Linked DNA regions of Lepisosteus oculatus. The protein of the gene in region 1 purifies or fractionates together with the protein of each later gene. This does not show direct contact. Links are inferred from orthologs where the notes say so. Each region holds a gene or a part of one and is shown on either strand. Other genes may lie near its edges.

Region 1 (7,034 bases):
ACCTTAAAGAAATTTGCATAGACAAACTGGAATTGGGATACGGCTGTGTATTTGCGTGACGGGCTGCGCAGCTGGAGCAGAAAGCTCACTCACCTGCGGGGTTGGCGATGGCGATGGGCAGCTGGTGCATCTGCAGGCCGGCGCTGCTCAGGGTGTTGAGGTTGATGGTCTGCAGGCCGGACAGCTGGGCGGCGTTGACCGTCACGGCGCCGGCGGGGCTCTGCGCCAGCTGGGGCAGGGACTGCACGGGCGCCAGGGTGATGGTCTGGGCGCCGGCGGGGCTCTGCAGCTGCAGCGTCTGCCAGCTGACCTGCCCGTTGGGGCCCACGGTCCGCAGCAGGATGGGGCTGGTGTTGGGGAGGGTCTGGAACTGCAGGTTCTGCAGGCCGTCCTGCGTGGCGAAGACCTGGCCGGTCGGGACGGCGCCCGTGTGGAGGGTCTGGAGGGTGGGGGTGCCCTGCAGGAGCTGCTGGGGCTGGATGATGATCTGTTGCTGCTGCTGCTGCTGTTGCTGTTGTTGTTGTTGTTGTTGCTGCTGCTGCTGCTGCTGGGAGTCCCTGTTATCCTGCGGGCTGCCCTGCAGCTGCACGGCGCCCCCCGAGCTCTGGTACCCCGAGACGAGCCCCCCGTTGCGCTGCTGGGCCTGGACCGTGGTCATCGTGGTGCCGCCAGCCGCGAAGCCGCTGGCGCTGCTGACCGACGGCGCGGAGGTGACGACCGAGCCAGCGCTGGAGAAGTACACCCCCGCCGCGCTGGACACGGCCTGCTGGACCTGCTGCTGCTGCTGCTGCAGGGAGGCGCCCGAACCCGCGTCCCCCGCCCCGCCGGCCGCGGCCTGGCCGCCGGCGCTGACCGGCAGCAGGGTGATGTTGCCGTTGAGAGACAGGGGCACGTTGGCCAGGAAGGAGCCCTGGTTCTGCAGGAGGTTGCTGCCCAGGCCCAGGTTCTGCAGGGGGATGGCCTGCTGGAGCAGGTTGGGCATGGCGATGAGGTTGCCCCCGCCCGCGCCCGCGCCCCCCGCCGCCCGGATGATCTGCTGGCCGCCGCCGGGGGACGAGACCAGCTGGAACTGCCCGGCGGAGTCCTGCTGCATGCTCACCTGGGCAGAGGCACCCGTCGCCGTGGCGAACTGCAGCTGCTGCCCGTCCACGGTCTGGAACTGGGGGATGACCTGGTACTGGATGTTGGGCATCACCCCAGACAGGGTGGTCAGGACCTGCTGGCCCTGCAGGGTGGGCGCAGAGGCCACCACGAACTGCTGCTGCTGCTGCTGCTGGCCGCCCCCGGCACTAGTGGCCACCGCCGGCCTGCCCTTGCCCGCGTCCCCCCCCAGCCCCCCGGCCTGGCTGAGAGTGGTGGCGCCCACGGAGCTGGGCACGCTGACGGGGATGAGCTGCCAGCCGTTGGCCGTGTGGGCGATCTGGGCCGAGTTCAGGTCCAGCTGCTGCTGGTGCTGTTGCTGCTGCTGCTGCTGCTGCGGCGGCGGCTCCGAGCCCGCCTGCTCGCCCTCGCCGGGAGACTCCATCCGGCTGCACGTCGCCGCCAGCAGAGCGAGCGGGGAGGTCTGCTGGGAGTCCTGCAACAGACACCGGGGTGGGTGGGGTTACCACGGCCGGCGAAAAGGGCGGCCCACGCGTACCCACCTCTCCACCCACCCGCGCTCGCTCCCCCCCCTGTCCGTTCCCCCTCCAGCGCCAAGCCTCCAGTGGGCTGTGCGGACCGCTCTGAGAGAGCGGAGCCTGCGACGGGAACACCCCGGCTCCGCACGCCCCGCTTTTCAAAACAAGCATGTGCGCAGGGCGAGAGCGACAACAAACCCGGCCCCCCATCGCCGCCACACACGCAAACACACCACCAGCCTCCCCGGGTCAAGCAACAACGCCGGAGCCGCCGCCGCAGACCGGCCGCGGTCCTCTCCCTCCCCAGAGCACAACAACACAGCTCTTCCCTCGCGCTCTCGCCCCTCGCGGGCCCGACGCGAACGCGGAGACCGGCGAGGAGCCGCCGCTCACCTGCCCCGAGCTCGCGCTCCTCTTCGCGAGGCTCTGAAGGAAAGCGGCGCCGCCGCTCTCGGCCAGGGCAGCCATCTCGTCTCGCGGCTGTTCCTGATCTGAGGGAGAGGGAGGAAAAACACAGCGCGGAAGGGGGTAATACTAGGCAGCCAACGGCGGAATATTAATTGAAAAGAAAAAGAAATCGGGTTTCCTATGTCGAATCCGCAACCGTGCCAAAACGACCACGGAAAAAAAAAAAGTATCGCTCCAACCAAAAAAAAATCGAGAATTGATCCGGGTGTACCTGGGTTTCTTTTTCCTCACATGTTTTAGCGTTTTGTTTTACGCCAGTAAACGCAGTGATCCACGGCCAGAGATTAAAAGCAATGTGGGGGAGATATTCCGAGTGTTATCTGAGATCATATTGTTTTTTTTATTCGTGCTAAATCTGCTCTTTGTTGTTATTTGTCGAAAGGAAAGTAGTAACGATGAACGGCTGTTCTTAAGTGTCCGTTTCGACGAGCTACCCCCCCGTTTAAACTCCTCTTCAGCCTGATCCAATTAAACATCGAACTTTTAGGGTCACCCCAGTCCTCAGTGAAAGTGGAACGACGGAAAACCCAGCTTGTTTAATCTTGAGGCTAAAAAAAACTTTAAAAAAGAACAGTCCTCACGAAACCCAGACCTCTTTCTACTTCAGCGGGTTTTTGTTAGAATACGACTTTATGGTTTTATTCATTATTTTCTAAAGTTGCGGAGCTTTTATATTTCGTTTTCTTTCTTTCTTTAATTTTCGTCTTTAAAACAACGAAAAAAAGTTTCTTACCACTCATTATGTTCTGACGGGAGGAGTTTCTTGGGGTTCTTGAGGGGCTGACATCAACTTAGAGACGGTGCAACCAAACCCCGCGGCGCCACAGCACCGAGGGAAGAGCGAAAGCCCTCTTCGCCAATCAGAGAGCGCCCTGCTACTACGACAGCCAATCGGATTTGTCTGGAGGATGTCTTTACGAGTTCAGTCTGGTTGTGTCGTTGGTCGTGGGTTTGGAATGTGTAGCGAGATGGAAGCGGAATTGTATCCAATCATCACTCTGAATGTCCGCTGAGTTGCCAGTAACATCCAATGGAAATGGAGCTTGGGGGCGGGTATTTGGGTGGGGTCAAGTTGGGTAGGTTGTACCGTTTACGGAACGGCTCAAAGTCTGTACAGGAGGGAGGATTTTCTTTTTGGCGGAAAAGGCGCCATTAGCAAACCGTGCTTGCTGTGGTTCTAGTATTTATGAAGCGGATGTCATCCTTTTCTTCCCTTTTCTAGCGTTTGGAGATTTTTTGGAAATCAGTCACAAATGATATTGCATTACTATATTATTACATTCTTTAAAAAGCGAAAATGGTCTATAACTGTTTTAAATACTGTTATTTTTTTTAAAATACAGTATCAGAAAGCTTTTTTATGCAATAACAAAACGCACCACTGTGGGTTTTTAGATACATGCATGTTGTCCCAGCCATTTTCAGTTCAATTAAGTACCTGGGAGCCCAGCCTCGAGGAAAACCAAAACAACCGGTTCAAATCTATATTTTAAAAGGACAGGCTTTCTAGTCCAGTTAATTAAGTTCATCATCTAACCCAGCTGTTTTCTAAAAAAAAAAAGCCAAGGTTCTTGTTCTGAGTTTGTTCCACTCTCCCGCTGCCCTTTGTGTAATACGAACGTAAGAAAGGAGGCTGATGTTTCGTGTTTCACAGAGCAACTCGCCTGCCTTTGGGCACTCCTCTGAAAGTGCAGACTGGCCATTTAGGAGTTTCACCACTCGCTCGCTGAGTGAAAGTCCACCAGGGGTAGGCAGGCTGGGGTTTAATTGTCCTGTCTGCCCCTCCCTGCCCCGGACACTGCCGAGGGGTAAAGCTCTGTACTGATCCAGCGGGAGTCCCGTCTACGATCCCAGTGAAACCAGCACAATCCAGCAGCACCCCGGCTCCTCTCATTGTGAACTGCGCTGTTGCCCCCTCCACCCTCGCACATACACCTGCAGAACGGAGAGGCAGCCCTGTAACCAGGGTCACGGTCAGCTCACACTGGCTGCTGTTTTATCTGCTGGGAACTCCCGTGTTTAAAAACATACGTGGTAGGTCCGTGTCCATGTAGACCTGCCCAAGGCAACTCGGTGAGCTTCCTCAGCCGACACCGAGAGAGCTACCTGCGAGAGCATTTAGATCTGGGGCTTCTTTACACAAAAGGGGGGTGGGGGTGTGGAACAAGCCACACAAACGATACCCTGACCTTTTAGAAGAAAAGATCCATGAATTACTAACAAACGTTCTAGATGTTCTGAATGGCCTCCTCTCTCTTGTAACCCTTCTTGAGCATGGGTTATGCATTAAGCATGAAGCATGAAGTAACCAGATAATGCCTTAACTCTTGCAGTGAGGACACTGCGGAAAAAGACACCCACTTTTCAGGCTCGTGTGCTACCTGACGGGTGCCAAACGCAACGACGTGATCTGGCCCGCAAATGTCCAAAGACCGTTTTGTCTTGTGCGGCTCCTACGCAGACACACACCTTCAGGAGTGCGTGCGAAACGCGAGCACGGTCCAGCTAGTGTATCACAGCTCGGTGACATCGTGGTCAGAGAGATGTTAAGCGCTGTGACAGCCGAGTCTCCGATACTCGTGCGGGGTTCTCTTTCCTGGGCGGGCGGATTATGAATGAGAGGCAGAGACCTCGCGCTCCTGCGGGCCCCTCCCTGTGCGGCGCTGGAGGGCTGGGAGAGCGGTAGGCGGCCGTGGGGGAGGGGCAGCGCCTGAGCCTGCGAGGGCAGGAGAGGGGGTGGGGTGCTGGAGGGTGTACCCAGAAGCACATGCTTTCCAACATGTAAACAGCGGGCTTTCCGTGGGGTGGAGTTGACGAGCGGGGGGTTTACCGACACAGCCTCCTCTCAGAGCTCTTCGCCAGCGGAGCCACGGTTATCGGGCTTTTATCCGCATGTGTCTTATGGGCTGTTTGTTTTTTATTCCAGTTGTGTTTGAAACGATTATTCTGTAGCCATTGTTCTCTAAACCAGAGGGCGATGGGCTATTTCTCCTCACTGAAGGATTTGCAGTTAAATAACCCCCTCCCCCCACGCCTCTGAGCGTGGTTTCGGTCTGTTGAGTACTGTGGTCGCCAAGTTGTGTAATGGTATTTTTTCCAAGGAATTCAAATCTTAACTCCGACAAACTGTGTGAACGCCACGTTTCTGGCCTGTTAACAGTTGAAAGGAGGCGAGAAAGGCAACAAATTAAAATGATAAGAAAGTATTTTTCCCCCAATGTGATCAAAGCGGTTCAAACTTAAGTTACTGATTGATCTAAATCCCATCAAGCGGAGGTTTGAATTCCAAGCGCCCTGTTAATTGGCGTCTAAGGGCGAGTCGATTGTGTAAAAATGCTGAAGACCTGTTCTGCATTCAACCTAGCTATGGCTTAACGTGGTAAAGGCTGATTTAAACGTAATAATTGGTACTGTCCGATCAAACTGAAGCATGCAGAGAGAAGAATTCATTAAAACTAAGAAATCGGGAACAACACACGTGAGACCTGCGTAGAAGACACTAGAAAAAATATTGAAAGATAGCCTTAGTGGTCTCCCAACAAAATTGGAGATAACCTATTGCATTGGTATATTCCCAAATGTCCAGTCCTGTTCTCTTCAGGGTCAGAACAGAATTTCTGAAGGTTTAAAGTTAGCTAGTTAGGACATCAGTGCTTTATTCCTGGCCGATTGATAATGGTTATAAACACTTCGCTCGCCGACAAGCCGCCTGTTATAAACTAAACAAGAACGCGCTGTGAATCTTATCGGATGTAGCCCCCCCGTCTTTCATTAAGATATGGAGTGAGAACTACCGTTATTCTTGATTTTCCATGTTGTCAAACATGTTATGGCTCTGTGATAATGCTGACGACGAGGCTTTCGATTCGATTTCCAAAATGTGCACGACAAAACCATTATTTTTTTAGAGTTCAACAAGAAGAGACGTGGAAACGACGGTCTGTAAACTTTCTTTTAAGACTAGCGTCTGCTGTCACCGTCTGGACATATGTTGGTATTACACCTCCAGGAGCTCCAGTTGGTACTCGAGTTACGTTGTGCTTAGAAGACAACGAAAATTCTAAATCATACTAATCCTTACGCTTATCTAGCTCTTTTTTTCAACAGAAAGCACTTTACATGTAGTGGGGACTCCCCTCCACCACCACCAATGTGCAGCCCCACCTGGATGATGCGACGGCAGCCATAGTGCGCCAGAACGCTCCCCACACATCGGCTATCAGTGGGGAGGAGAGCAGAGTAATGAAGCCAGTTCAGAGATGGGGATTATTATATATATAATAATAAACTTTATTTTATATAGTGCCTTTAAAGGTGTCTTCTTAAAGCGCTATTAGGAGGCCATGATTGGTAAAGGCCAATGGGAAATTTGGCCAGGATGCCAGGGAAACACCCTTACTGTTTTCAAGAAACGCCCCTGGAGAGTCCCCACGGAGAGTCGGGATCTTGGTTTTACGTCTCATCAGAAAGACGGCGCCTATTTGGATGCTTCACATTGGTGGTGGTGGAGGGGATCCCCATTACTCGTAAAGCGCTTTGAGTGGAGTGTCCGGAAAAGCGCTATATAAGTGTAAGCAATTATTATTATTATTTTACAGTATAGTCTCCCCATCACTATACTGGGGCATTAGGACCCACACAGGTGAGCGCCCCCTGCTGGTCCAACTAACACCTCTTTAAGCAACAGCCTTGTTTTTTCTCAGGAGGTCTTCCCCTCTAGGTACTGACCAGGCTCACATCTGCTGAGCTTCAGTAAGCTGCCAGTTGAGAATTGCAGGGTGATATGGCTGCTGGCGATAACTCAGTAGTAATAATCGAACGGTGGATATCGTGTTGTTTGAGCTAATCACTCATACTAGCAGTCTGCAAATGCAGATGAACAAACAACTATCCTACGATTCTGTAAAACGCCACAAATTGTGATATAACTATTATACAAATAAATTA
Region 2 (6,884 bases), on another chromosome or scaffold:
GTCTGTGTATCTTATGTATGTAATAGTATTGAATTGGAAACTTGTTACAAACGAGTTCTCTGCTTAAGGTGGCACAACCTGGAAAGGGCAGGTAAACATTCTCTCAAACATTGGATTGTATTAGATCCATTGTACAGTATATTAAATACCTTATATCACAGTCTGTATTTGTTATGTAAGCATACAAATGTACAGGAGACCCAGTAGTGGTAGACTTCATTCGAAGAGATGTGCATCTGTTTGAAGGACTTTGAACTTCACCAATAAATGGAAGGTGTGTCAGTAGCAGCAAATCACTGATTAGAAAGTGCCTAATGGGGCCTCTGGGTCTTTGTCACATCATGTTCCTGCTCACACGCAACTTTCTGAGCCTCCATGAATAAACAGCCTCCCTGCAGGTAGAATAGCCCGTGACCAAACAGGCATAATGAGTGGTGTATAGAAAAATGTGCAATTGCTTCTTCCTGCTTTTCGTAAAATATGTCATCAGTTTGCACCTCATGTTATGAGGCTGCACTCCATGTCCTCTGTACAATTTAGATTTATGTAAAAAATGTAGCTCTGTGGCTAAAGATCTGTGCCTGTGGCTAGAAGCAAGGTCCTTAACCCCAGCTGCTCCAGGGGCACCGTATAAATGGCTGACCCTGCGCTCTGACCCCAAGCTTCTCTCCCTGTCTGTGTGTCTCATGGAGAGCAAGTTGGCGTATGCGAAAAGACAAATTCTTAAAACAAGAAATTGTATATGACCAATAACGTGATCTTATCTTATCTTAAAATACCCCAAAACGGTGAAGGAACCTTGCACAGTGCATGTGGGTTTTTTTTCTGTGCTTTTTCAGCATATGAATAACTGTCTGACTTGTACTGACCTCATGAGATATTCAGAATTGTGGGCTTCAACCTGCAAAGATGTTGTCACCTGAGAGCAGGTTGATCTCTGTGATGAAAGCTTCAGGGGTTCAGTCCTGGGTCGCGTCACTAACTGATGGTGACTGAGATTTCCCCTTAGTGTTTGCGCCAGATCTGGCTGAGCACCACAGAAAAAAAAGGGGTGGGATTAGTAAACTGGGGTTCTCTCGGGTCCCAGCAACCCCCCAGATTTCCTGGGTGCTCTGGGGGAGGTGCTGTCATGTAATTGGGGTTCCGTAGCCAGTGAAGAGTGGAAGGCCTTGAAGGCAGAAAGGTAAGAGGAGTCTTCATACACTTCCTCATTCTTCCATGTGAGGTTGCGGGGTTCATAGCCATTAGCTGAATCAGGTAAAGTAAAAATAGGTGATTCTAAAATTCAAACAAAAGACTCCAAATGGTGTTTTACTGCCTAAATCCAAAGGTGCAGTGAAGGCAATGGCACTTTTAATTAAGGTGATTTTTTCAGATTGTAAAATTTGGATATATAGGCTTATAGCTGAGTTAAAACACATATTAGAAAACGTATTAGAAAACATATTAGAAACTTTAGCTGTAGTGTAAACCGTACTCCTCATATAATAAAGTCCAGCTCATTTTGTGAAACTGTGAACCAGATTCCATCATATTTTTAAGGTACCTAGTGTTCACATATTTTAATCCCATTACATGACTGAGCACAACATTCTTAGGAATCAGTCTGGATTTGTCATCTACTGTTTGCACATTCTGTAGGTGTTCATATAATCTCATTTCAATTCTAATATTCATATCTACATTTCCTGTCACTAGGTTTGTACTTTAATTTTATGCTTTCGGAAAATGGGGAGCATATTTGGCACTGAAAAACGTTGAAAATCCTCATCTTAATCTTTCGAAGGCATTTCCACGTCAGTGCTTTAGAAGCGATCATGTAGTCTAAAATTCAAGGGCTCGCCATAGCATTACATCATAATGAGCTATGAGTTTTATTTTCTCTTGATTACAGCCTTGTTCTTCACCTCAGGAGGTGTGTGCCTGTAAGGCGAGTAAACATGGCCTTCCTGTTTAAAATGAAAACAATAGGGAACAAAGCAGAAAAAAGCCATAGAAAAAAAACCCCGTAAACTGATCCCATTCAGAGCTGGCTCTTCAAGAGTGAGGGGAGGTGAGTTTTCCAGGTTAACAACTTCCAGTCTGGATAGGGGGTAAGCCCTTTTGCACACTTTTGGGAGGGGTCTTCAGAACTAAAATTTTACCTAAAAAAATCCCAACAAACACTTAACAGCTCGAGTCAAAACCCTAAGTACCACAAATGTTCCTTTAATGAGGGTGGCAGCTTGTGGTTAATGGCATTTCCATACTGTGAATCATTATTTTAACCACTCAGCTCCTGCCTTTCCTAATATACATTGAGGAGTGGTGTCGATTCCTTCTGCAGGCTTGCAGCATCCGAGATGAGTAAAGTCCTTGACTGTTGTGGTTCTGTTCCTTATCCGCGAAGGAAACTCAGCTGCTCCCAAAGGAGTAATCGGCCGTTAACTTGTTCCTATTAAAAGAAATTAGGCAAAAGGTTATGTCGTTATATATTGTGCAAAATCAAATTCCCAGGGAGCTGGACAATAAAGATTTTGGGATGTGCAGCACTTGCCAGAAGTGTGTTATTGAAAAAATTCCAGTAAGACTTGTGGAATCCCAAGAGTGCTATCTGGTAAAGAATGATATCTTCTCATAGAGATAACATAGGTTTTGAATTTATACCTTAAAATTGATCTTATGTATCTGCAGCCCAATTTATTCTCACCATATGTGTTAAAATAAATACTGGTGTATGTACATTCATGCTTATTCTCAGAATATAATTAGTTTAAATGCCTTTCTGTAGCACTCAACCAAGAGTTGAGTTCACCTCTTGTCATTAAGGTTCTACACAGCTCCTATTCTGACTTCCTTTGTGGTATAACAGACTTCTACAAGTTGTCTTGCGTGCCCTATCATATAATCATTTCAAATATTGGAGTGCCATAGTAACTTATTTGAGTTTATTTGCCCACTTCGTGTTGATATTCTTCATTTTAGCCAAACACGTACAGTACTACTATGTTTGAATCACAGCTTTACCATGACTAAGATTTCATCTTTTGAACATGATGCAATTTTGTTGCACGTGGACCCATAATATGTTTTATGCCACATCTTGACCCACATCTTGTAAAGCTCTGGGTTAGCATTGGGAAAAAATAAAAAATACATTTTGTGCTAACCTGCAGTCTAACCAGGTGGTCTGATTCATGTGGTAGAATTAATGGATTCAAAGAAAATTAATTTTCTAACCTTTTTTCTGTTTTTTAGAGATGATCTTTCGAAATTGCTTATGACTCTATGTCATAAGCTAATTTCAGTACAAACTTTGATCCACTGCTTAATAATGTCATGAAATATCTTACTTTATGTGTTTTTCATCACTGTAAAGCAATTTTTCCTCATAATAAAATAGTAATTGTATTGTTTTTTGGTCTTAAAATTCCAGTATTTTTTAACTTCCAACTGGAACCACGTGCTTCTGTGATAGATTCCCATGACTCTTACCAGGAATAAGCAGTTTTTAGATAATGGGTGGATGTAATTGATCGAAACACATTCACATAAGTTTAATTTCAGATATTCATTAAACATTTCAGAATATATTATTTTCAGGGACACAAAATTGTAAATCTTGTTCAAATAGTGCTTAGTTAACATTCAGACTGTTTTTTATTTTATTTTATATACATAGTAATAGTACCAAAGTTTGCTTTCATATGAAACCACCCAGTTCTACGTAAAACAACTGCAGGATATTGGCAAGACAAAAAAACTCACAACAAAAAACATTATCTGTCCCCCATCAAGAGAAGTGCAACTGAGTGTCTGTAAGTAGGAATGAAGCAACAGGAAGTCATCTGCGTTTACTAATACTCCACACTGAGGCCACATGATTGTTAGCTGTCTGCACTTTTGCTAAGGTTATGTTGTGTCAAAAGCGGAAAATGTGTGTTTTAGTTCCTACTAATTGGGCAAATCCACCAAGGGCATTACCCACTTGCTAAAAGTCAAAAGTTCATCGCAACCACCTCAATGGAAAAATCATAAATTTTGGATGCCAGATGTCACAGCTTTTTAAAACAGTGTATGGTGAGTGCTGACCCTCGTCTTTTTTTATTTTTCATGGAGTGTTAGTGAATTGGTTCCCTAGCATCAGCATCAGCATAAGTTCTGCCAGTCGGCATTTCAAAACATCCAAAATGTGGAGGGAAAAGGAAACTATTATAAACTAGTATAACAAAAGCAAAAAAGAAACTTTTCACACGACTGTAACGGCTCTTGAATTAGCCATGGAAAATATATTTGTGAAGTTTTAGAAATTGTATAAGTTTGCTAAAACCTATAACACCTAAAATTGTCCAATTCTGGTCCAGCAGGGCGGGTGTGTCACAGCCCTCCCTTAGATCAGATCTCATCTCAGGATCAATAAGAAATATCTGTTAGTCGAAAGTGTCTATGTATTGAAATATGAAATATGTCTATTCTTTAACAAGCAAACAAACCTCTCAAGTAGTTTATGTCTGTTGCTATTAAAATATTATTTCAGCTCCTACTGTACGTGGAATACTAACAATTTAAGGGAAGAAATGTCTGATTTGGTAAATGATTCAAATTAGATAAGATATTAATTTGGAAAATGCAATAAGCTCGGGGGGTTTTCCCTCAGCTTCACATTTTGTACCACCCTGCTGATCGAAGAAGGAGGTTATTTCAAAAGCCTACCGTCGCGTTTCAGCGATGACCTAAATCTGAACTAGCCTGGTATACAGAAATGTATCATTTTTCAAAATGTAGAAATTTTGAAAGGTTGCGCGATGAACTAACCTGGGCAAAGAAACGAACTGCTGCCAGGGTCAGGAGTTCACAGCCTCTTCTGTTCAAGAGGCAAAACCCTGCTATTGGTTTTGAGGTTTCTTACTCAGCGCCTCAGTGTGTTCTCTGGGCTTTCCACTGTAGATGAAATGATTGAAAAAGCAGAGGTGTATGTCAGGAAGCTGGACAATTTTTACATGTAAAACCTATTCTGCACCATATGATTTTGAAACAAATGATTTGTGTTCATCTGTGAAGTACAGTATAAATAAACTTTTTCTCACTGAAAGTTATTTTTTTGTAAAGATGTCAAACTGTAAAGATATTCTCAAAGTTGACTCCATTTATCATATCTTTTTTTCTTTACGCATTTGATAATGTTATGTGTCTAGACAGCTTGCAAGAAGTATTCTAGTTCTGATTGCACAATAGTGTACAGTGCAATACAGGGTGTTCTTCATAGTAAGCCCTGCTCATATTTTGGAAGAATCTTGAGAATTGTGTAGGTGTTTCTTAAATATTATTTTATTACTGACATTGTTATCTAGTTCCCTTTAAATATTCATTGTTTCTTCTTGGATTAAAAGAGGTGATAATATGTATGCCATTTGTAGCCAGTTATTTTATTGTATACATCTGACCTTCGCGTATCCATGTGGAAAATCTATACATTGTTTTTTTTTCAGGACAGTCACCAATGATAAGAGGCCATTCTGGTGATGACGATCATTCGGTTCCGTTTTCTTCACAGTCTCACTACTAATACTGGGAACAAACCCCCAAGTATGAAATCCCCCTAAACATTCCCCCCAGAAAGGGATCATTTACAATTGCCACTAAAATTTAACAGTTGTGCTAACTGTCATGCTACCATGGTGCCAGTGTTGAAAATGTAAATGTGATAAATCAACCAGAAACTAAAAAAGATCCCTACCCTTTTATCTTGATATTTCTCTTTCTATGACACTTCAAACATAATTCCAGTTCTTCATGTCTTAGAAACAGGTGGCTGTGATAAGGATATGAGAAAGGTTGTAGTTGGCCCTTTCTGCCCGTTTAGTTGCTAGTAGCTAATTAAACTGAGAATCTCAATCGGGAATTTTTTGGAAAGAAGACTGGGCCTTGGCATCAACAGCAAGGCTCGGGATCTTGTTCCAGACTCCCACAACCCATTTGGAGGTTTGGAGATTTAGATCTGTTGTTAACAGAAGTAGCTGGAGTAAATGGTGACCTCTTGTTTGGAACCCTTCCTGCATTCTTCTTTAAAAATCTTATCTTCCCTTTGGAAAGTGTAAATGAGTCCATTGCATTGTACGCTTTGATTATTACATTCATGTTCTCCAGACATGTTTGTGAAAAAACATTGTCACACAATAAAGGCATCTCCAGGACGGATACGTAATAGCCTTTTCAGTGGCACCTGTCCTAGTTTCCCTGCAAACAATCTGTTTTTGAACTAACTGTTCCAGGATTTCCATCAGACAGGCACTCAGGAGTGTCACACAGCTTTACATAAGACATTTCTTCGGGAAAATAGGCCTATCTCTGTATGGAACAACATTTAAAGTTCTAACAGTCATAAAGTATACGCAAATGTAAAATATCCTTCTTACAGTATCCATTCCCAAACATTTCTGTCAGCCTTGTCTCCTGGCCATGAAGTTAATTCAGACCAGGATTTCTGTGGCATAGCATCAGAAATGTAAATATGATACTATCTCTGAAGATAATGTAGTTTCCACTCAAATCTTAAATATCTATGCATTAGTCAAGGATTAAATTGATTAAATCAAAGCAGACAAGTCGGTGAAATATCTGAAATTATTCAGGTATTTTCTGATGTAGCTTCTTTTTGTTGTAGAAGCTATAATGATTACAATACAACTGACAAGAACATATACTAAATTGTAAAGTTTTCTAATTCCAAGAAGAGAGTTACAGAGTAAGGAGATCCAAACATAAATAAAGGTTGTTGTGAAGACTGGGCTAGCTGCTTGTTTAGTCATATTTCTAGGATGACTTATCCTTTTTCAAGATATTGCTGAATGTGGTCAAACAGGTTGCACCAGTGTTAGCCCTGTTCTGTACAAAGATGGTAGCTC
Region 3 (7,521 bases), on another chromosome or scaffold:
CCTTTGTGTCTCTTTATGGCAGGGATGTGTTCAGTACAGAGGAGTGTTGGGTGACAGTGGAAGAATCTGGTAGCAGTTCTTTATTACAATAATATTATAAAGCTATATTAGCATATGTAGCCATTTATGTCTCTTGGTGCAATTTTACAGCACAACCTAAGCAAAAGAACGATGTTGGACTCAATGGGATGGCAGGACTCTGTGGAGCCCGTTTTGGTCTCGTCTGGAACTGGTTCTGGGGCTGTGGCGGCCCGCGGAGCTCTTCAGTCCGAGGCCCGACAGTGGCTGTTCTACCAGGAGGGCTCACAGTGCAGCAGTCCCAGTCCAGGCGTACATAGAGGAGACAGCTGCCCTCCCTTCCTGAGAGCACAAGACAGGTCACGAAAGAGAGGCCCATCTATCCTGTTAGGGAGCTCGTAGCTCATTGATCCCAGGATCTCAAGCGGCCATCTCTTCGAAAGAAGCCGGGGTATCGGCTTCAGCAGCCTGGCTGGGCAGCTTGTCACAGACAGCCGGAAGCCTGGAGGAACAAAGGCAGATTGGGGCTCTGAGAGATCTGCGACCACCCCAGTCCACCCCAGTCCACCTCAGTGCAGCGCGCTCAGCACAGTGGGGGAAGAGACAGCCTGGCCTAGTTTACCTGCGCTCGGGCCACGCAGAAGGGCTATTTCTGTCCTGCCACCTGAGTCTGAACAAGCACGCAGATAAATAAAGGCTCCAGCCCTTCACTGCAGGGTGTTGCATTTCTATTTTAAAAGGAGAGAGAGGGAAGGGTTTAAACCTGCTCTAATGAAATGTGTGGCGTGCGTAAAACACCTTCCTTTAATGTTAATTTCGGAATCAGAAGGTAGACCCAAGTGCAGCAGGGACGAATACCTCTTTCTGGGAGCATCATTTAGGGCACACAGGGTCAGCAGCGGGCGAGAACATCGTTTGCTCTGTTATTAGACGTCTTCGACGGTCAGACCAAGAAGAGCCGCCCGATTACCTCTGAACAGGATGGAGGAGGATGGCTGAACAAGCTGAACATGAAGTACCAGCCGGGCTTGAGCAAACTGAGCTGATGACATTTCTGGGTCAGCCCTGTTTTTGAGCCAGTTCCTGTATATGGAGATTGTAACACGGCAACACCGTCTACTAACGCAAATCATTAGAACACAAGACAGGTTCCAAGCGGGATGAGGCCACCGAGTCGTTCCTGCTAGAATCCGAAATGTCAGCATTTTCCACGGCGTCTGGACGGCTTGTTCCACACCCCCACAACCCTTTGTGTAGAGACGTGCCTCCTGTTTTCGGATTTTAAAGCATCTCTACAGAGTTTCCACTTGTGTGCTCTGGTTCATGAGTCACTGAGGCCAGCAGCTGATTCGGAAGAAATCTGCTGGCTTGACATTGTCAGGGGCTTTGAGGATTGTGAAACCTGTTCCTATCTCTTAAAGACTGAACAGGTTTATTTCCTTCAATAAGAATGCCCAGTGTAGGACAGTCGCTTAAACCCCAGAATGTATCTGGGTGCCCTTCTCTGGGCTGCTTATTGCACTGCACACCTGTCTGTGTGGAGTTTGCATGTTCTCCTGTGTCTGTCTGTCTTTCCTCCAGGCCCTCCGGATCCTTCCCGCCTCTCCAAAGACACACAGGATACTCTGACTGGCTGCTTCAAACTGCCCGTTCCGGAGTTCGATCCCTGATCCCACAAGGAAGGTGCCTGCATTCCGCATCAAGGCCAGAGGTTATTAATTAAAAATAAGTACAGGACAATCAGCAGATCACAGCAAACAAACTGAGGAAGGAGGGGAGCTGTGCTGGATCTGGAGAGGAGACAGGGCTATGTAACTAGAAAGCTAGAGATCTCTTGATCTGTATCTTTATGATGTTGTAAAGGGTTTCCTTTCATGCTGGGGTTTCCCTGTTGGTGTGTGTTTGTTCTCTTGTCTGTCTTGTTTGTTCCTTAATGATGGACGCTGTGTGAACTTTGTTAACAATTAATTAAAAAAAGAAACGCAGGCTTGCAGTCCGGGTTCAGGAAGTGCGAATCCTTCGGAAGACAGTGATGCGGCTTGTCCACACGCCATCCCTGCAGTCTGAGATCATCCTGTCGGCGCAGTGGTGACTCAGCCCCGCGTGGCCCCCGAGCCCCCACGCCCCCACGCCCCCACGCCCAAGCTGACAGGCACCTGATCACCTGCGGGTCTCTCCTGCTCCGAGCCCAGCGGGGAATCCCAGCGCTGAGAGTACACAGTCACCCGTGCTGTCATAACTTCCAGGTGGTGGCGAAATTCAGTCATGTTCCCAGAACAATACACACATAAACACACACACACGGACTTGCTGAGTCACGGAGGACTCATGAGTTGACTTGTTTATTTCTTCTAAACCAGCAGCCCTCTCTTACGATTTTGCAGATCTTAGGCCTTTTCTCCAAACAGGCTCCTGTCTGGAATTCTTTCCCACTCCCACTCCCACTCCCACTCCACATCCCTGCCTGGACAACCTTGTGCTTCGGGTCAGGAGGGGTGCAGATGTTCACATTCCCGAGACAGAAGAGCTGTCCCCTGTCTCTCTCCCCTGTCACCATCTTGTCTGTCCTCCCACCTTCACAGTGTCTCGTCACATTCCCTCCTGGTCCCCCTGTTGCGTCTCTCTGGTCTGTCTCTTCCAGGGGTGCCCAGCCCTGGTCCTGGGGAGCCCCTGGGTCAGGGGTCTTCAGGTCACCCCTAAACCATCAGTCCCCAGACTCCTGTGAGGGTGTGGCTGTGACCAGTGAGGCAGGTGCCCTGGTGCAAGAAGGACTTTAGAGACCCTGTGAGCTGAAAATCCCTCTCCTGTCTCTCCTGTCTCTCCTGTCTCTCTCAGGGACCACAGCTGGACACTGCTGCCTCACCTGAGCCCGCTAGCTGGCCGGCTGGACCGTGGCCCTCCGGGACCAGGCTCAGGCTCTTCCTGCTGGGACAGCTCCCTCGGCTGCCATCTTCAGGCGAGTCGTGCTGACCTCCCTCCTGTGCGCCGGAGAGCGGAGAGCAGACTGTGTGGGTTCCCGGGTCGCTGGCCTGCAGAGACCAGCCTGGCGTGCAGGCTGAGCCCCTCGGCCATCAGAGAGGTCTCGTTCTGAACTGGGCTGAGCTCTGCGGAGGAGGAGAGACGGGCACCTGTGGGCTCCATCAACGCGTGGAGCGTTTGCAGAGAGAGTTAGTGATATTTCACATAGAAGACAGGAATGAACCACGTCAAAAATGCTGTGTCTGGCAATCTCTCTCTGCGTGACACATTTATAGGACACGAGAGATTGACCAGGACTGCTCTCGGATTATAGGAAGACTTGGAGAGTGATCGTGTACGGAGTGTAGCAGGAGGAGCCACGCTGGTTCTCCGGAAACGGCCTTTTCGGAAGAGATTAACGCTCGTTTCAAAACGTCTCTGAACCCGTGCCGGGGCTTGACTTCTGCACCCCCGCGGGAGGGAGGGGCTGAGCCCGCCGGAGCTGCCCTCGGCCCAGAGCAGCGCCCCCTGGGCTGGCCAGTCAGCGAGACACGTCCGCCCAGCGGGGGTCACTCTGTCCCTGGCCAGTCGGTCAGTGAGCTGGTGGCTCAGCACGAGGAGGGTCCACGATCTCCCCGTGACCTCCCCTGAGCTCCAGCCCAGCGGCCAGCTGCCCAGTGGAGCTCCGGGCGACTTCACCGGACCCTCCAATAGTGTCAGCAATGAATGAACAAGTCCAGCCAGTACAGTGCCCTCCTGGCGTCGGCTGGGGACCCAGTCCAGCTCCTGGGCTGCGCCGCACAGCCAGACAAAATAACACAGAGTTCCACACGGAGCTCAGTGGAGTGTGGGACAAGCCAAGTCCAGAGCCCGTTTCTGTAACTCCCGAAGGGGCTAGATGGGCTTCTGTCATCTGTGACTCTTCCTTAATGAAGTCGGTCTGCTGCTCACACAGGTACACTGGCCTGGCGCTTCAGGTCACAGCAAGAGCAAACCAGAGGGGTCAGAATCTCACCCTACTGGTTCTGGAAGGAAAACATAGCTGGGCAGCCTGTTCCACACCCCCACAGCCCTCTGTGTTCAGAAGCTGCTGAGAACCGCTGTTCTCAGTTCTTACTCCGCTCCAGCTCAGTACTGTGTACATTTATACTGCGTTTGTTTATTCTGGAACGGTCAAGTTCCCTGTGGAATCAGTGTTTCATCATGTTTTATACGTTTTGTTTGGATTTCAGACATTGGCAGCTGTTGTTTGAGCCTGGGCGTCACGGAAGACGGGCGGACTGGTGGGATCTGTGGGTGTCCCGGGGAGTCCCCGACCGGCCTCCGAACCCGCCCAGAACGCAAACCCACCTTTCGCTCGACTGTCTCGGGAAGCGAGCGCGTCAGCCCGCAGGGATCGCGACGAGCTCCTGCGATCTGCTCGGCCGGAGGAAACGCTCAGAAACTGCAGCGAAGAAAACCCGAAACTCGTCACGGCCCGGGCTGCCCCCCCCATCCTCCTCCTCCTCCTCCCAGGTGGCAGTACAAGTGGAGCGCGCCCCTACCTTGGCCGGCCAGTGAGCGCGCCCCGCCTGCCGCCTGAGCCGCACCTGAGCGACGTCACAGCGCCGGGCGGGTGCCGCTGCGCGAGACGAGCGCGAGAGAGACACTTCCTCCAGCACGCGGCGCGGCTCGAGAGAGAGCGGCAGAGCGAGCGAGCGCAGAGAGGAAGCGGAGCGAGCCGAGACCCGGGGCCACCGCGGCGTCGCTGCCAACAGCTGCAAGAGGTGAGCGAGCTGGGTTTTTTTGTGCGAGGCGATAGCGGCGGCTCCCCACTCTTATAACCCCCCCGCCGCGGCGAGAGGACTGGCCCCCACCCGCCGGATCTGCAGGCAGCGAAACTTTCGGGCTGCAGTGTCGCGCTCTTCCGCGCCGCTTGCGTGGAGTTTCGGTGTGTCGGCCGGGGCGGGGAGAGACGAGACGAGACAGGAAGAAGAGTTCGGCGGCTCCGGCCGAGAAACTCGCCGCCAAAAGCGAGAGACACAGAAGCAGGCGGGCAGAGGCGCGGTGCCGGTCCGCTCAGCCCCCGCTCCCGGGTCCCCAGGTGGAGGAAGGGCGCCGGGTCCGGCGGGGTCCCGGGGTCCCCCCGCTCGGCTGGGCTGAGGCGGCGGTCGCGCTGTCCGAGCGGGCTCCGGGCTGGGGGCCGCGGGGCGTTTCAAGAAGTTTTGTTTTTTTTTGCGCGTGTGCGTGTGCGTGTCCTTCGGCTTCTGAAAATCTCTTCCACCCTCCGCCGTGGTCGGACTGCCGGTCTGAAAGGGGCTTTCTCTGCGTGGAGGAAGAGGAGGGGGGTGATGTTGATGTGTACGTGGGATCCCGAGCTCTGCGTGGGTCTTCCCCCTCGCGGGACGGTGTGGCCGGTCTGTGCTCTGTACCGTCCTGGAAGTTGCTCTGCACCCGCCTGTGTCTCGGTCCGTGGGACAGCGAGACCGCGGACCTGTTTCCACTCTGTTTGACAGCTGCTAAACCTCCCAGCCCGCAACAGATCCCAGATCCGTCTTGTTGTTGTAAGCGTCTCTAAAAACACTGGGAAAACAGCCGTTTGGCGTGTGCGCGCTCCTGTGCGGAGGTAGACACCTGTCCCACCTGCGCAGGTGGGGTACAGTCGCTCCGTCCACGGCCTCCGGGGACCCTCCTCCACGCGTGGGGCCCCTCTCGCGAGAGTGTCCCGGGTGGAGCCGCCCGCCCCGCGGGGGGGCAGCAGTGTGTCCCTGTGCTCGGGCTGCAGGGGGCGATTACAGTGGCGGCTCTGCTCTGCAGGGACCGTGGGCCCGGGACAGGACTGAGGTCACCCCGAGAGTGAGGGGGTTAGTGTGTAAGTTTGGGGCTCACGCCTTTGCTGAATTGAACAGGACTGCTGAGGCGGGGCGGAGCTGTGGCTCTGTGGCTCAGGATCTGCGCCTGTGACTGGGAGGTTGCCGGTTCAAATCCCGCAAACAGCAGAGGAATCCTACTCTGTTGGGCCCCTGAGCAAGGCCCTTCACCCCAGCTGCTCCAGGGGCGCCGTACAATGGCCGACCCTGCGCTCTGACCCCCAGCTCCTCTCCCTGTCTGTGTGTCTGTGTCTCCATGGAGAAAAGCTGGGGTATGTGAAAAGACGAATTCCTAATGCGAGAAATTGTATAGGGCTAATAAAGTACCAGCACCAGTGCCGAGCGCGGGTCGCTGCAGAGCTGTGATCAGGGCTCGGGCCAGAGCAGGAGGCCGGAGCTCAGCCTGGGGAGGTTCTCGGCTGCGCGGTATTGATCGCTCCGGGCCCAGACTGGGATCGATCCCCGTTTCGCCCGCTGCGTTCCTGGGAACGCCTGGGCGGTGGGTTGGCAGGTTGTGCGCCCCCTGCAGCCGGGCCGGGCCCTGCGCGCCTCTGGACCCGTGACCCCGGTGTTGTCGGTCCAGGGGGGGTGGGGAGGTCGGCTCTGTCCTGCCCCTCCCTGTCCCAGGCCAGCAGAGAGAACAGCCCTGAGCTTCTCCCCTCTGCCTGGTCATCTCCTTGCTGTGGATTGTAAGTGTTGGAGTGGAAAATGTCTCAGGCTGGTCCCAGCTCCAGGCCTCCAGGAATGCAGCTTGTCTGGTTTCTGTTCCACCCACATTCTCTCGGCGGCCTAATCGTTTAACTGCAGAACTGCGACGCCTCTGTCCGCGCGCCGAGGTGATTCCCAGGTGACTGAACCTTCAATGAAGCGACTGTCTTGTGTCATCGACTGTAAAAGACCTATATACGGCTCATTTGGGAAATAATGGGGTTAATTGCTTAATCGACTGCTCGGGTTGAAACAAAAACCCGGAAAACATTGGAAATGTGGGAGTTTTACCAGAACTTAATAAAGGACTGCAAAAGAGGACGAGGCTGTTGATCGTTTGGTCATTAAGCACCCATTTTGTCCAGCTGCTGCTTGTAGGATTGGCCACCTGACTGGAAACCCTGCTCCCCACACCCACAACTCTTTGTGTAAAAGGGTTTCCTGCACTCCTGGTTCAGAGCCTTTTCTCGGTTCTCTTCCGGTTTTCTAACGGGGCAGTACAGCGATATAAACACCGGTGTTGGTGTTTGCACCTCAACACGCTCCGTGGGCCTCTTCCCCTCGTCTTGCTGGCGGCGCGGGTCCCTGTGGGCCGGCGTGGGCCCAGGTCCAGGCCCGGCCGTGAGAGACCCCATCTGGGAGGAGTGCTGTTTTCACTTCTCTCTTTTCGTCTGCGCTGTGGTCAGCCTTGTGCAAGCCAGTCTTTTTCAAGGAGCCCCGTCTTCTGAGAAGAGTTTGAGGAACTCGCAAGAAAAGCAGAAGTTCTTTTTCCGGCGAACGCGCAAACGCGCGTGCGGGGGGGGTCGTCCTCGGCTCTCCTGTCCTCCTGTCCTCCTGCGGCCCCCCCGGTCTTGTCTGTCGGTTGCATCGGTCCAGGGCGGAGACCAGGGCACAGGAGCTAGCAGGTCAAGTGTGGGGTCGCTGTCTGAGGACCGGTGAGGTGCCCTGAGCTGATGTCCCGGCTGACGGGCAGGGCGCGAGCTCGGGA

Evidence for each region.
Region 2: the proteins of sp1 (region 1) and pparg purify together in Homo sapiens (affinity purification with western blotting; 3 studies listed by BioGRID). This does not show direct contact. The link is inferred for Lepisosteus oculatus from reciprocal best matches to the Homo sapiens genes SP1 and PPARG.
Region 3: the proteins of sp1 (region 1) and protein kinase C delta type purify together in Homo sapiens (affinity purification with western blotting; 3 studies listed by BioGRID, with this or other methods). This does not show direct contact. The link is inferred for Lepisosteus oculatus from reciprocal best matches to the Homo sapiens genes SP1 and PRKCD.

What each region holds. Positions count from the first base shown.
Region 1 is NC_090696.1:17,809,669-17,816,702, forward strand, and holds the start of sp1 (transcription factor Sp1), read right to left. Parts: upstream 3,010-7,034; 5' UTR 2,828-3,009; coding exon 2,821-2,827; intron 2,111-2,820; coding exon 2,013-2,110; intron 1,577-2,012; coding exon 94-1,576; intron 1-93. UniProt on the Homo sapiens protein: Transcription factor that can activate or repress transcription in response to physiological and pathological stimuli.
Region 2 is NC_090699.1:62,232,095-62,238,978, forward strand, and holds the start of pparg (peroxisome proliferator-activated receptor gamma), read left to right. Parts: upstream 1-3,882; 5' UTR 3,883-4,059; intron 4,060-5,468; 5' UTR 5,469-5,501; coding exon 5,502-5,565; intron 5,566-6,884. UniProt on the Homo sapiens protein: Nuclear receptor that binds peroxisome proliferators such as hypolipidemic drugs and fatty acids.
Region 3 is NC_090699.1:66,104,258-66,111,778, reverse strand, and holds the start of protein kinase C delta type, read left to right. Parts: upstream 1-4,519; 5' UTR 4,520-4,742; intron 4,743-7,521.